3 linked regions of the Oryzias latipes genome follow. The protein of the gene in region 1 binds, or shares a complex with, the protein of each later gene. Links are inferred from orthologs where the notes say so. Each region holds a gene or a part of one and is shown in the gene's direction. Other genes may lie near its edges.

Region 1 (4,028 bases):
ATCCCAGAAACTAAATGTCCCCATTCGTTTTTAGTCCATCGTTTTATGCTGTTTAAATTTGTATTTCCACTTGAACAAAATATCTAGGTTTGAGCTATAAATGCTTAAATTGTGATTTTTGAATGTTTCTTTTTATTATTACTTTTCCAGAGGTTTTTACTTTACCTTTATTCTACCAGGTAGTCCTATTGAGACAAGATCTTTTTTTCAAGGGAGTCTTGGTCCAGAGGCACATTTCAATACAAAAAAATACATAAAAACAAACATCATTAAAACCACATACATCATGAGAAGCAGTTGCACATTATTGTTTCAGTCTCTGATGCTTTGAGCTTGTTCTTAAAAACATTTAAAGATACCAGTTCAGTTAGTTTCCAGTCTTTCTGCAGCATTTTCCAAGCAGGAGGAGCAGAGTGGACTAAGGCTTTTTCCCAGCTCTGTGCAGCAAATGGAACAGAAACAACCGTCTAAGGATCAGAGGAGTGAGATTCCACACTTCTCCTTGTGATTAAGGAACAAATGTAGGGAGGGAGTAATAACCAATAGTAACTACCAATAATAATAACCAATAATAATTACCAATAATAATTACTAATAATAATAACCAATAATAATTACCAATAATAATTACTAATAATAATAACCAATAATAATAACCGATAATAATAACCAATAATAATTAACAATAATAATAACCAATAATAATTACTAATAATAATAACCAATAATAATTACCAATAATAATTACTAATAATAATAACCAATAATAATAACCGATAATAATAACCAATAATAATTAACAATAATAATAACCAATAATAATAACCGATAAAAATAACAAATAATAATGACCAATTGTAGTAACCAATAATAACAACCAGTAGTAAGAACCAATAATAATAACCAATAATAATAACCGATAATAATAACCAATAATAATTAACAATAATAATAACCAATAATAATAACCGATAATAATAACCAATAATAATTAACAATAATAATAACCAGTAATAATAACCGATAATGATAACTAATGTCCCTGCCTCCTAGTGGCCAGAGAAGTTTTTGCCTTCAATGTGTTCGTGCTTTTGTTTTTTATAAAGTTTTAGAAAAAAAAGTTGACATCCGGTACATAAGAAAGGGGGAGAGGGGGGCGTAGGTTTCTCGCCTCTGATTGGTCAGAAGGGTAAAGTTTTCGCGCCACCGCACTGCATGCTGGGAGCTGTTAGCGGAAGCGACGGGAACCGTGTTGTTGTGGTGAGAGCTCGGCTCCGCCGTTGTTTGGTTCTGTGGGTCGGATTCGAGCTGCGCGGACGGGCAGCGCTGGTTCTGTGGATGAGAGGGGAGGAGTCTTCGGATTCTGAGTCGGGGAGGATGGAGGAGAGTTCGGTCCGGAGGAGTTTGGAGGTGCTGTGTCAGGAGCTCAACATGGACGAGCAGACAGCCAGTGAGGCCATGGACAACTTCACCTCCATATGGAACACATACACTCTGGAGGTAAACGACTGGCTTCGGTTCGGTTCGGTTCGGGGGGGGGTTAGAGTCTCCCGGGGGCGCTGTAGACTGACCCGCTATGAGCCAACGAGCGCTTCTGCTCTGCGACCTCCGGTCATGATATACATTAATACATGATGCTGTGACGTGAGTTTTCCTGAAGCTTACCGGAGATTTTTGTGTTTACACACAGAAACACTGAAATGAGGCTTATTTGTGAGACTGAGTTAAAACATCCAGGTGTTGATTTGAGTCATAGGATTGTTGTTTACGTCCGTTGTTGAATCAACGTCACAGCGAGATGCTGCAGGTGACGGGAAGAGGAGCCTCGTCTTTAGGTTTACCTGGTAACTAATGGCAATAAATAGATGGCAATAAACGGAAGGTGTATTTATTATCTACAACATGGAGGTGGATGCACTGAATTTTTAAATATGAAGTCCTTATTTTTTTAGCAAAAACTAAGAAAATATTAGCAAGAAAACAGTATTTGAGGGGCGTAAAGAGAATTATAAATTCCTACTGATTGAACAGGGCAGTGAACACAGCACGACTCACCTGCATAAAGGAGGATTTGTAATCAAAGGCGTCTAATATCTGGATTTTTGATTTGATGTGGCTTTAAAAGGGACTCTGTTCATTTATCTGTTGCTGTCTAGAAAAGTGACCCAAAGAACAGAAACGTCCAAAACTTTACTAGATTTGTTTTAGCTCTTTGATTAATATACAGTAATAATAATCACACATTTTATTTAGATGGCGCCTTTCTGAGCACTCAAGGTTGCTGTACATCATATGTACTTATATAAAATATAATAAACAGTTAAAACAGCAATTTAAATAAATACAAATAATAAAAATATTTAAAAACAGGAAAAGGTTACAGTGAATGGGCCATTTGGAGGAAATGAGTTTAGTTGTTTTTATTTGATGATTTTTTATGGATTTGTTTGATCTCAGGGTTGAGATGGTGGATTTGTTCTGTGCGCTCCTGCTGCTGTTTAACACGATGGCGTTGAAGATGGAGATGCCTGAAATTCTTCACATGATTCAATGTTTCTTTAAATGTAGAAAAATGACGTCACTCTGGTGAATAAATTCAGCATTTTTGTAGCATATTTGGTTCCAAACGGATCCAAATGTTGTACATTTAGTTGTAATAACTGGATTTTATGTTGATGCGTTATTTTAACTAGACGAGTGAACGTTAGGAAATCGTTTATCTCTGTTGTTGTCTCCATAAAACAGCTGTTACACCTCATTATGAATTCATATGGTTAAAGATGTAAAGTCTATTTTGAGCAAAATGAAAAGAATGAAATAAAACGCAGTATTTTACTGAAATGTGACTGAATGCTGAACGTGTTCATGTTTCATCTACTAGCTGTTCCTGAGGGTTTAGCACAGGGTTTTGTTCAGAAGAACCTGAACCTTTACCAATCATTTCATTCACGCACCAATGGAGGCACAGCTGCCATGCCAGACGCTAACAGGCCCAAGGGCACTCGGGCACCGGTGGGTGGGCAGAGCTGGACGATGCAGAAATGTGCCGTTGTGTTCCTGCAGGGGGAGGTGGTCCACTGGCTGGCCTGTTCTCTGTACGCCGCCTGCAGGAAGGGGTCCACCCCCACTGTGGGGAAGGGGCTGATGGAGGGCAACTGTGTGTCCCTGACCCGGATCCTGCGCTGCTCCAAGCTCAGGTCAGGTTCTGCTCTGCAGCTTCTGCTGGATTTTACAGCCAGTCCCGGTCAAACGGGATCCGCCTGTGCAACTTTGGGATTTGCGTCTTCATGTTTGGTCCCGTTTGTTGTCGGCCCCCCTCCCAGCCTGATCCAGTTCTTCTCTAAGATGAGGAAGTGGGCCGACATGTCAAACCTGTCACAAGACTTCCGGCTGAGGATGGACCGGCTGGAGCGAAACTTTGAGGTGTCCACCGTGATCTTCCGCAAGTTCGAGCCCATCTTCATGGACATGTTCCAGAACCCACAGGGCAGCGAGCCCCCCCGGCAGCCCCGCAGCAGGAAGCACAGGTGGGACGCCGGCGCGCCTCAGGCATGACGGTGTATACTATATACATGTCCACAGTATACTATATATACACACATACACACATGGTGCATTGCGTCTTGTTGGAATATCTTGAGTTCAAATAAAACCCGAGCAAAGGTTTTGACAAAAACAAATACATTTTAGGCTTTTGTCTTGATGTTTCATCCTTTTTACTGATCTGAGACATGATCCAAACCGTGAGTGTTGGGATCCGTTGCAGCTCCATCTCTACTGCAGACACAGCTTGAACTCTGACCTCCACGTCAGAGACGCTGCTGCATGTTTGCACCGACAGCAGCTTTCAGCAGATGTGGAGTTTTCCGGAATGTTCTGGGCTTTAGGATCTGCTCCTGTGTGTCTGCAGACGGCTGCCCTGTCACATCAGTGATGTCTTCAAGTTCTGCTGGACCCTCTTTGTCTACACCAAAGGTACCGAGAAACAAGCCGGACGACCTTCCTGAACCCTCTGGGTTTGCTTGAGC
Region 2 (4,218 bases), about 9.6 Mb from region 1:
CTCTGCTCTCAAACTGTTCATCAGGGAGGAGGGGGAAAACCTTACCTTGTAAGACACAAGTGCTCTCCATCTTGTCTGGAGATGTGAAGGGCTCAGTCTGCTGGGTTTTAACCTGCCTCTTAATTGTCCCAGCTGGAGGCTGATTAGCTGAATGGAGACTTCCTGCTGCATAGGAAGTTTTGCATTTGTGTAATTTCTACCAAATATAATATACCCAACAAAAAGTACTTGTCATAAGAAAAAGATCAAAACATGACAACACCATAAATTAGACATAAATTAGAGTGGTTTTCTTTTATTTTCAACTGTGGGATGTATGACAAAATGAAAAAGAAAAACATAGGGAGTTCCTAAAAATATGCTCAAAAATTCCTGAAAAATTAGGAATTTGAGAACAGAAAAATTCCTAAAAAGAATTTAAACACAACATATTGAATTTCATGTAAGTAGTTTTTCTCTGGGGAAATTCACCCGGCGATAGTGCCCTAGAGTTAACCATAAGTACATGTATTCCCCTAAACTAATACACTATTTTTTAATCATAATATTTTGATATTTATATCAGTTTGATAGGTCATTGTATGAATGTCTAACTGATGATTGTATTGTTTTTGTGTACTATTCTTATTTGATTGCTTTAAATAAACCATTTTCTAATCCAAATATTTGAATTTTGTTTAATTTTCTTATGTGAAATCAAAATTACAAGTAAACTTTAAAAGTCAAATTAAATTACAGGCCTAAATGAAGCTGTTCGCTGATCTTAATTAATGAGAACTGTTCTATCCAAATTTTTACTGAGATTGAGAAGATTGAGCTTAAAAGAAAAGTTATAAGATGAACAATGTTTACCTTCAACTCGCAACAATCATAAAAGACCTAACTATTGACTAATCATTTTATCTTAGCTTATAAGAAGAGTTCACAAATATTTTATATATTCATATACTGATTCATTTAAAACTAACCTTTTCATTATTTTTTTTAACTGTTTTCCGGTTTTAGATTAAATTTAACTTTTTGGGTTATTATTTTTCTAGCTTTATTTATTTATTTGTTAGTTAGTTAGTTAGTTAAGTTAGTTTGGCTCTTTTATTTTTAAGTTGGTTTTGTAGTGTAATTATTTCTTTTAGGACAATGTATCTTTGCTTCAATATTTTCATTCATTTATTTGTCTATATCATTTTTTTTCAATTCTATGTTGTATTTTTTTGTCTATATAATTATTATTATTATTATATTTTAAATTATTTATTTATTATTTATTTATTTTATAAATCTTAATTACAGCACCTAATTAAAAACCATTTTGAATCAACCAAACATTACATTTATTTTATTATAAAGCGTCTTAACATTTTATTTTGAAGGTCATCCATAGAGGTTTGAAGCCTTCTGCGCAGATCTACGGAGCACCTACGTCACTTGAGAGTCAGCAGTACGGAGAAGGGCGCGAGATAGAAATTGCGGCGCGCGGACGAAGCTCGCGCCTACCTCTAGCTGTGGCTTCCCGGCTCTATTATAACTGCAGTCGAGGTTCTTTCGTCAGAACTGGACATCCTGCAACGACCCAGCCGTGTCACCTGCAGGTTTTTCCCGCAAACACCTGCAGCCCAGCCCGGTGAAGTCCACGTTTGACCCAAATAACAGTGGGAAATGTCATCGTGGCCGCGCGGGTAAGATCCGTGTTTTTGTTTGCTTTTAAGTTTGCTTGTTTGTTTATGTTGCATCTGATGAGCTGACTTCTGCTCCGATCGGGTTGTGGGGAGTTTGCGCGGACTTTGACTGCCGCCTTTTTTCCGGACTTGGCTCAAACTCCGACCAGAATCACCGCCGGTACTTTTCCAGATCACTGCTTCCTGTCAGTAAAGCTGAGCCGCAATCCCGCGGATCCGGTCTTTCTTCGGCGCCTTTAGGGTCAAATCTCAACCTCTTTAATGTGTCCCGGCAGGGAGGACGGGGAGGAGGCCGCGCATCCGGACACGGACACCGATCTGACGGAGTTCAGGGATGGAGGGAAAGTAAAGGTCAGATGGACGCAGGAGGAGGTAAAAGTTCACCCTGAGTGGGGCCTGTGATTCTAGTGCAGTGTTTTTCAACCTTTTTTGAGCCACGACACACTTTAACCTTGACAAAAATCCTGCGGCACACCAGCATCCAAAAATGTGAGAGAAAAAAGGAAAAACTTATAGTCAGTCTGTATTGATCTACTACAGCCCCTCCGCAATCTCACATGCATTTTTGTGACAATTGTGGCAGAAAAAGCTGGAAGTTGCAGCTGTTTTTTTTCTAAAAGATGTAATAAAAGTTAAGTTAAAAGATTTAAAAACTGTTTGATCTGTTTTCGTTGTGGTTTCAAGACGTTTAACAAGGACGACTCATTCTGCGCTAAGACGCTGTCACTTTAACCCAATGCATCATGGGAGATGTAGTGCAAACAGCCGCAGAACGCAGAAAGACTAGCGTCTCTGAGCTTCATTCTTTTGTCCACTTTTTCCACGGTCTGATACCAGATTCTGTGGAAAGCTGCACCGCTAAAGACGAGCTTTAGCTGATATTTTTGTTGGAACTGAGAGACTTTATGAGCAGAATCGGAACAAGGAAGTGAAGACTTTAACCACTTCTGATTGGTCAGACTGTTGACGTGTGATTGAGCCTCCAAGAATGATTGGTGGAGACAGTTAAAGGGGCGGGACTATTCCTTATACAACTGTAGCTGCGGCTAAATCACGGTACCGTCATTCTTATCAACATGTCTTTAATAGAATCAAATAAACACAAAGAAAAATGTATTTTATGGTCTTTCATATTCCTAACTACTCAGTGTTTTATCAGGGCCTGTTTGGATGAACAAAGAGCTGTTATCCTGGAGTTGGGAAATCTTTTTAGATCAGTTAATGAGGGCAATTTCCCACGGCACACCAGACCATCTCCCCCGGCACCACGGCACACTGGTTGAAAAACACTGATATAGTAGCCCTCGTGGTTTTGCAGCGTAAAACAAAAATGATTTGTGTTTGTTTGTTTTTTGCAGGACGACAAGCTCAAAGGTCTGGTTCAAAAACTGGGGACAAATGACTGGAAACGAATCTGCAGCCACCTCCCTGTAGGTCTAATAGGGGCGTATCTGTCTGATCATCACTTTGTGTTGCACTGCAGGAACTTTGATTTATACAAATTTACGAAATCTTACTTTTATACAGGGGCGGAGCTACAGGCGGGCAAGAGGGGGCACCCCCCCCCCCCCCCTGCATAAATCTTAGCCTCCTAATATTTGAGTTGATATGATAATCATTATTTTCATAGGTTTAGAAATCATAAATACTAGCTTCTTTAAGTATTGCAAAAATAATTTTAAAAAAAATTATTTTAAAAAAAAGTTCTTGTTGCCACCCTTTCAAAGTCTTCCACCCCCCCTTTAAAATCTTCTAGCTCCGCCTCTGCTTTTATGATTTCTTTCACTGAAATGTTTTCTTGCAATTATCCAACACTTTTATTGCTCAGACTTAAAAATATAAAACCAAGTTTCAGCGATTACCGTAGGCAGTTTTAATATTCAGTTTTCCCTTTTATAAAGCATTTAGAGTTTAATCCTAGTTCAAATTTTCCCAAAGAAGAGAATCCCCTTTTGTAGGATTTTGGTAAACCGAATGTTGGATTTGTCAAAGTTGGGTGACTTGATGTTTTTTTTGTTTGTTTAAACTTTTTTTGCACTAAAAATCTGGGATTAAAAGACTTAAAATTATAAAAATTCCTTCAAATTGCAGAAAAAAATTTAAGGTGAGAGGATTTAATCTGCACATTATTTCTGATGACAAAAGAACAAGGACAAACCTGCAGCAAAAAATAAAGTTACATATATTTCAGAAAAAAACATTTTTTTTGGTTTTTCAAATCCTGTAGAGAGAGAAAGAAAACTGCTTTTTAAAGTACTTTAAACAATTGTTTGTCTTTTTTGAAGAAAAGGTTAACAATTATTTCAATATCGTTTTTTGCAAGTACTGTTTTGGTGACAAACATGTTGGGATTGATCTGGAGATGATCGGGATCAGAGGTTTAGTTAGGACGTTTTTCCAAACCTGACGCTTGTTCTGTTGGTCCAGAACCACTCGGAGAACCAGTGTCAGCACCGCTGGTTTAAGGTTTTGGATCCCGAGCTGGTTAAAGGTCCGTGGACTAAAGAGGAAGACGAGAAGGTAAGCTGCCATTCAATTAGCA
Region 3 (4,155 bases), on another chromosome or scaffold:
AAAGCTCTGACCTGCTGCTCCACTCTGTTTATTCTGACCGGCTGAAAGTTGGTGGATGGCTGCTACTTCAGCTCAGCATCCTTTACAGGTGAGACTCATAAGAGAGCCCTAACTTTGCAGTTTATATCAGGTGAAAGTAACTCTTCTCGTAACTTTTTGCATTGCAAAGTGCTAAATACTGTAAGGCAGACCTCATATTTACATCTAGTTGGTGGGAATGTAAAGGCAATAAAGAATTTGTTGATTTTGAGTAGATCTTTGTCTTCCTTCCAGTTTCTACCTTTTTCATCCTCTGTCCTATGGCATGATGGGTCCTCTTGCCCATGAGCCGGGCAGTGCCATGGCAGGCCTGAAGTGGATAGACTCCTGGGACTTCTAGTTATCCTTGTTTGATTAAGATGTCACAGACACGGAGCATTTTGAGCCGAGGGAATTTCAAAACATCAGTTTGAGTCTAAACATTTCATTTGTCTTTCTGTAAGAAAAAATGTGAATTCAGTCAGTTTGGAAAGCAGATTGTAGAATCTTTTAAGATGCACTGGAGTTGTCACCAAGTTGCCTTTAGTGACAAACTAAATTCCATTTGAAAGAGACAGTAGTTGTTGTTTTTTTTAAAGCCAGAACATTTTACATGTATTTTTAGTTGAGATTGTCCTGAGCTTTAGTATTATACTTTTGATTTTGTGTTTTTATTATGTTGATCAATAAATTGTTTTATTCTTGTATTTCATGTCCTGTTATATTTGCAAAATTTACAAACACAAAACGAGATGTGCCGCAAAGTCAAAAAATTGGAAAACTCAATATATATATATATATATATATATATATATATATATATATATATATATATATATATATATATAATAAATTGTACCGTTTTTTTATGTATACTTAAGTTCAAACTTGTAAAATCTGTGAAACATGGGCCTAGTAAACTAAATGCAAGAAATTGTTGTTATAAAAATATAAACTAAATGCAAAACATTCCAAATCTGGGATGTGAAAGTCTTGTTTAATAATTGAGTTATGGTTTTTCTTTCCAGAAATAAAAACTAGAGGGAATAAAAGGTGATTTAAATGTCCCCTAAGGTAAAACCATAAAATGTACCAGCATTGTAACATTTCATTGAGACTATGGTGGGCTTAAATAAGGGTCTTTTCATTAAGTTATGACAGTAATGTTCGTACTACAATTTCTAAGACGATATAAATCTTTGAATAAAACGAACAGTAATCTTCTGTGCCTCTTGTAAACAGCGCGAGCACCATTGCCGCCCTCTAGCGGCGTAATTTTGAAAAACATCGCCACACCTCAAAACAGAGCGCGGCCGCTGCGATTGGTTGTTGCATGTCACATGATTATTTTGAAGATGGCGTCTCCAAATGGAGGTAAATTTTAATTCTTCTCTCCGATACGCTTTGAATACATCGCAAATGTGACAGTTTCGAGACATTTAAGTCGTTAACAGTTATAACGCAGTGTAATGTGAACACCCAGAGGTAACGTAAAATTTGTCGTAGGACTAAATTCTTGTTTAATCGGTTTGTTTTTCTTCCTTTGTTTTTCCTGATTCTGGGACTGACATTGTCCGCCGTTGATGATGACAGCAGCAGTCCAGATTGTTCTTCTTGTTGCTTCGTTTGGCCGTTTGGCTCGAATTAGCATCAGTGCTACATTTAGCACTTAGTTATTTTTCTCTACTTTAAATTAGTAGTAGCTGTTTTGGTTGCTTGTTAGATTTTGTGTGACTGTTCGACTCCTTTGATTGAAAATGGAATCAGTCTGCTATTAAGTATTATGTCCGTAATGAGTATCTTTTAATGTGTTAAAAATGTTGAAAGCAAATTCTAAAAAGTTTAACAGTCTGCAGAACCAATAATGTTATTAGTTAGTAATTCACACTCTGTCAAGAGTTATTGAAATTTTGGATACAATTCTCTATATTGGTGAAGGACCAGTGTTCAGATTTGATAGCAAAAGTAATTGTTGATAAGAAAGAAAACCCTTTATACATATACAGACAAATAAGAAAGAAAAGTGTCTCTAACAAGTGTGCCAAGAAAAGATCCCCCATACCATCACACCACCACCACCAGCAGCCTCAACTGTTGATACAAGGCAGGATGGATCTATGGTTTTATGTTGTTGATGCTACCATCTGAATGTCCCAGCAGGAATGGAGACTCTTCAGACCAGATGTTTTTCTAATCTTCTATTGTCCAGTTTTGGTGAGCCTGTGTGAATTAAAGCTTCAGTTTCCTGATCTTAGCTGACAGTAATGGCAGCATTAGGTGTGGTCTTCTGCTGCTGTAGCCTATCTGCCTCAAGGGTTGTTCAGAGATGCTCTTCTGCAGACCTTGGTTGAAACCAGTGGTTCTTTGAGTTCCTGTTTCCTTTCTATTAGCTGGAACCGGTCTGGCCATTCTCCTCTGATCTCTCACATCAACGAGGCATTTCTGTTTAAATGGCCAAACATATTTTTACAGCAGTGTAAGAGTTATTAGTAGATGATCAGATCACCACATGACTATGACCTCTTTGAACATTTTAATTGATCAGTGTTTGTACGAATCTTAAATGAATAAAACCATTTATTCTCATTCGAAACTGCCTAATTTTAAGACCAGATAAATATTAGATTTTTTCCTCTCTTTCTGTCTAGATAAAACATGAAACAAAAGTTGTTTTTAGGTTTCAATTTTTGACCTGTTTATAAAAAGTTACTTTTTAATTTTTTTTAAATTAACATTTGGCTGAATTTTATAGTTGACCACTGATTTCCAAAAGCATAGAACTTAAAAAACTAAAGAACATGTCAAAGTGAACCACTGTGTGCTTCTGCAGGGGAGGATTTTGAGATTTCGTTGCTGAGTTTTGAGAAGCTGGACAGAGCATCACCTGACCTGTGGCCAGAGCAGTGTAAGTTTCTATCCTCCCACGCCCAGCTGATAAAAAATTACTTTGTAATTGATTCTTTATGTGAATTCTCACACAGTGCCTGGAGTTGCAGAGTTTGCGGCAACTTGCAAAAATGTGAGTTTAGCTCTGATCTAAAGATGCAGGATTGACTCTGCATAGACTGATTGGAGTTGAGACTTTGTATGTTGTTGTTTTTCTCTTTTTATTGCAGCCTATCACCACCTCTCCTCCAAAGTGGATGGCTGAGTTGGAGAGTGAGGACATTGAAATGTTGAAAGGTTGGTTCAGACAGCTGACATTTATCCTGTATAAACCTTAGGGAAAACATTAAAAACCCACTCTGATAAGAAAAACCGTGTTTTGAACATGTTCTTGTGGCATTTGATATCTTGACATCTGATAATGGAGGACACGTATAAAGAAAATTAAGCTTGAAATTGCATTTCTGAGTTCTTATTTATTCAAATCGTTGTGAATCAGGAGCAGATGAAAAAATGCTGTTTGAAATTTCTTATTTCTTAATCAATATTGCTCGCCATTTTCGTTTCTAAGGTTAGGTTGGGGGTGTGAGTGGCTGTAAGCTAGCAGTAGAGTGTATAAACTGATGATCTACTGCAGCTCTGCTCTAACTGTCCTTAAAAATCACACAGTGTTTTTTTTCTATCTCGGCAAAAAACGGCATAATCATTCATTAAAAGACCTCTGGGAACGCCTTTTAACCCTTGTGCTATCTTAGATGACCCCACCCTTACATTGACGTGTTCTTCCGACCATGACAAAGGTGGATAAAGGTGGAAAGATTTCATGTAATCCATGGACACCAGTGAAGATCATAAATCATTGAAGAAAAAAAGTTCAGCGCACTGTCTAGTGGGTCTACATGACCCAACTCCCAACGTTAAAGTGCCTAGGATAGCACAAGGGTTACAACAGATCAAAAGATCAAATCCGAGTGGGACTTTAAATAATAATTCATGTTTCTTTAGCTAATTAAGTATCTCTAAATGCTTTTATTTAGTGTGATGTTATACCTCTGCAGAGCTGGGAAGTCTGACTACAGCCAATCTGATGGAAAAAGTCAAAGGACTTCAGAATCTGGCTTACCAGCTGGGTTTAGAGGAGTGTAAGTATAACAAAGACACTTCACCACTAGGGGGGGCTAAAAGCATTTCCACGCAATTCTCTGCCGCTGAAGTCTTTGGCTGCTTCCACATTCAAATTCCAAACAGGTT

What was found. The genes of interacting proteins can lie anywhere in the genome.
Region 2: rbl1 (region 1) and mybl2 share a complex: the UniProt entries of both Homo sapiens proteins name them as parts of the DREAM complex. The link is inferred for Oryzias latipes from reciprocal best matches to the Homo sapiens genes RBL1 and MYBL2.
Region 3: rbl1 (region 1) and lin52 share a complex: the UniProt entries of both Homo sapiens proteins name them as parts of the DREAM complex. The link is inferred for Oryzias latipes from reciprocal best matches to the Homo sapiens genes RBL1 and LIN52.

Annotation. Positions count from the first base shown.
Region 1 is NC_019863.2:32,786,893-32,790,920, reverse strand, and holds the start of rbl1 (retinoblastoma-like protein 1), read left to right. Parts: upstream 1-1,228; 5' UTR 1,229-1,338; coding exon 1,339-1,500; intron 1,501-3,063; coding exon 3,064-3,197; intron 3,198-3,323; coding exon 3,324-3,527; intron 3,528-3,910; coding exon 3,911-3,975; intron 3,976-4,028. UniProt on the Homo sapiens protein: Key regulator of entry into cell division. Directly involved in heterochromatin formation by maintaining overall chromatin structure and, in particular, that of constitutive heterochromatin by stabilizing histone methylation.
Region 2 is NC_019863.2:23,223,541-23,227,758, reverse strand, and holds the start of mybl2 (myb-related protein B), read left to right. Parts: upstream 1-1,418; 5' UTR 1,419-1,656; coding exon 1,657-1,676; intron 1,677-1,951; coding exon 1,952-2,048; intron 2,049-3,034; coding exon 3,035-3,106; intron 3,107-4,103; coding exon 4,104-4,196; intron 4,197-4,218. Other genes in the region: uncharacterized protein LOC101163484, read right to left, coding at 46-70. UniProt on the Homo sapiens protein: Transcription factor involved in the regulation of cell survival, proliferation, and differentiation. Transactivates the expression of the CLU gene.
Region 3 is NC_019880.2:13,721,197-13,725,351, forward strand, and holds the start of lin52 (protein lin-52 homolog), read left to right. Parts: upstream 1-1,355; 5' UTR 1,356-1,358; coding exon 1,359-1,392; intron 1,393-1,443; exon of another isoform or gene 1,444-1,503; intron 1,504-2,178; coding exon 2,179-2,232; intron 2,233-2,848; coding exon 2,849-2,923; intron 2,924-2,999; coding exon 3,000-3,037; intron 3,038-3,134; coding exon 3,135-3,201; intron 3,202-3,962; coding exon 3,963-4,046; intron 4,047-4,155. Other genes in the region: pomt2 (protein O-mannosyl-transferase 2), read left to right, coding at 1-88, 274-379.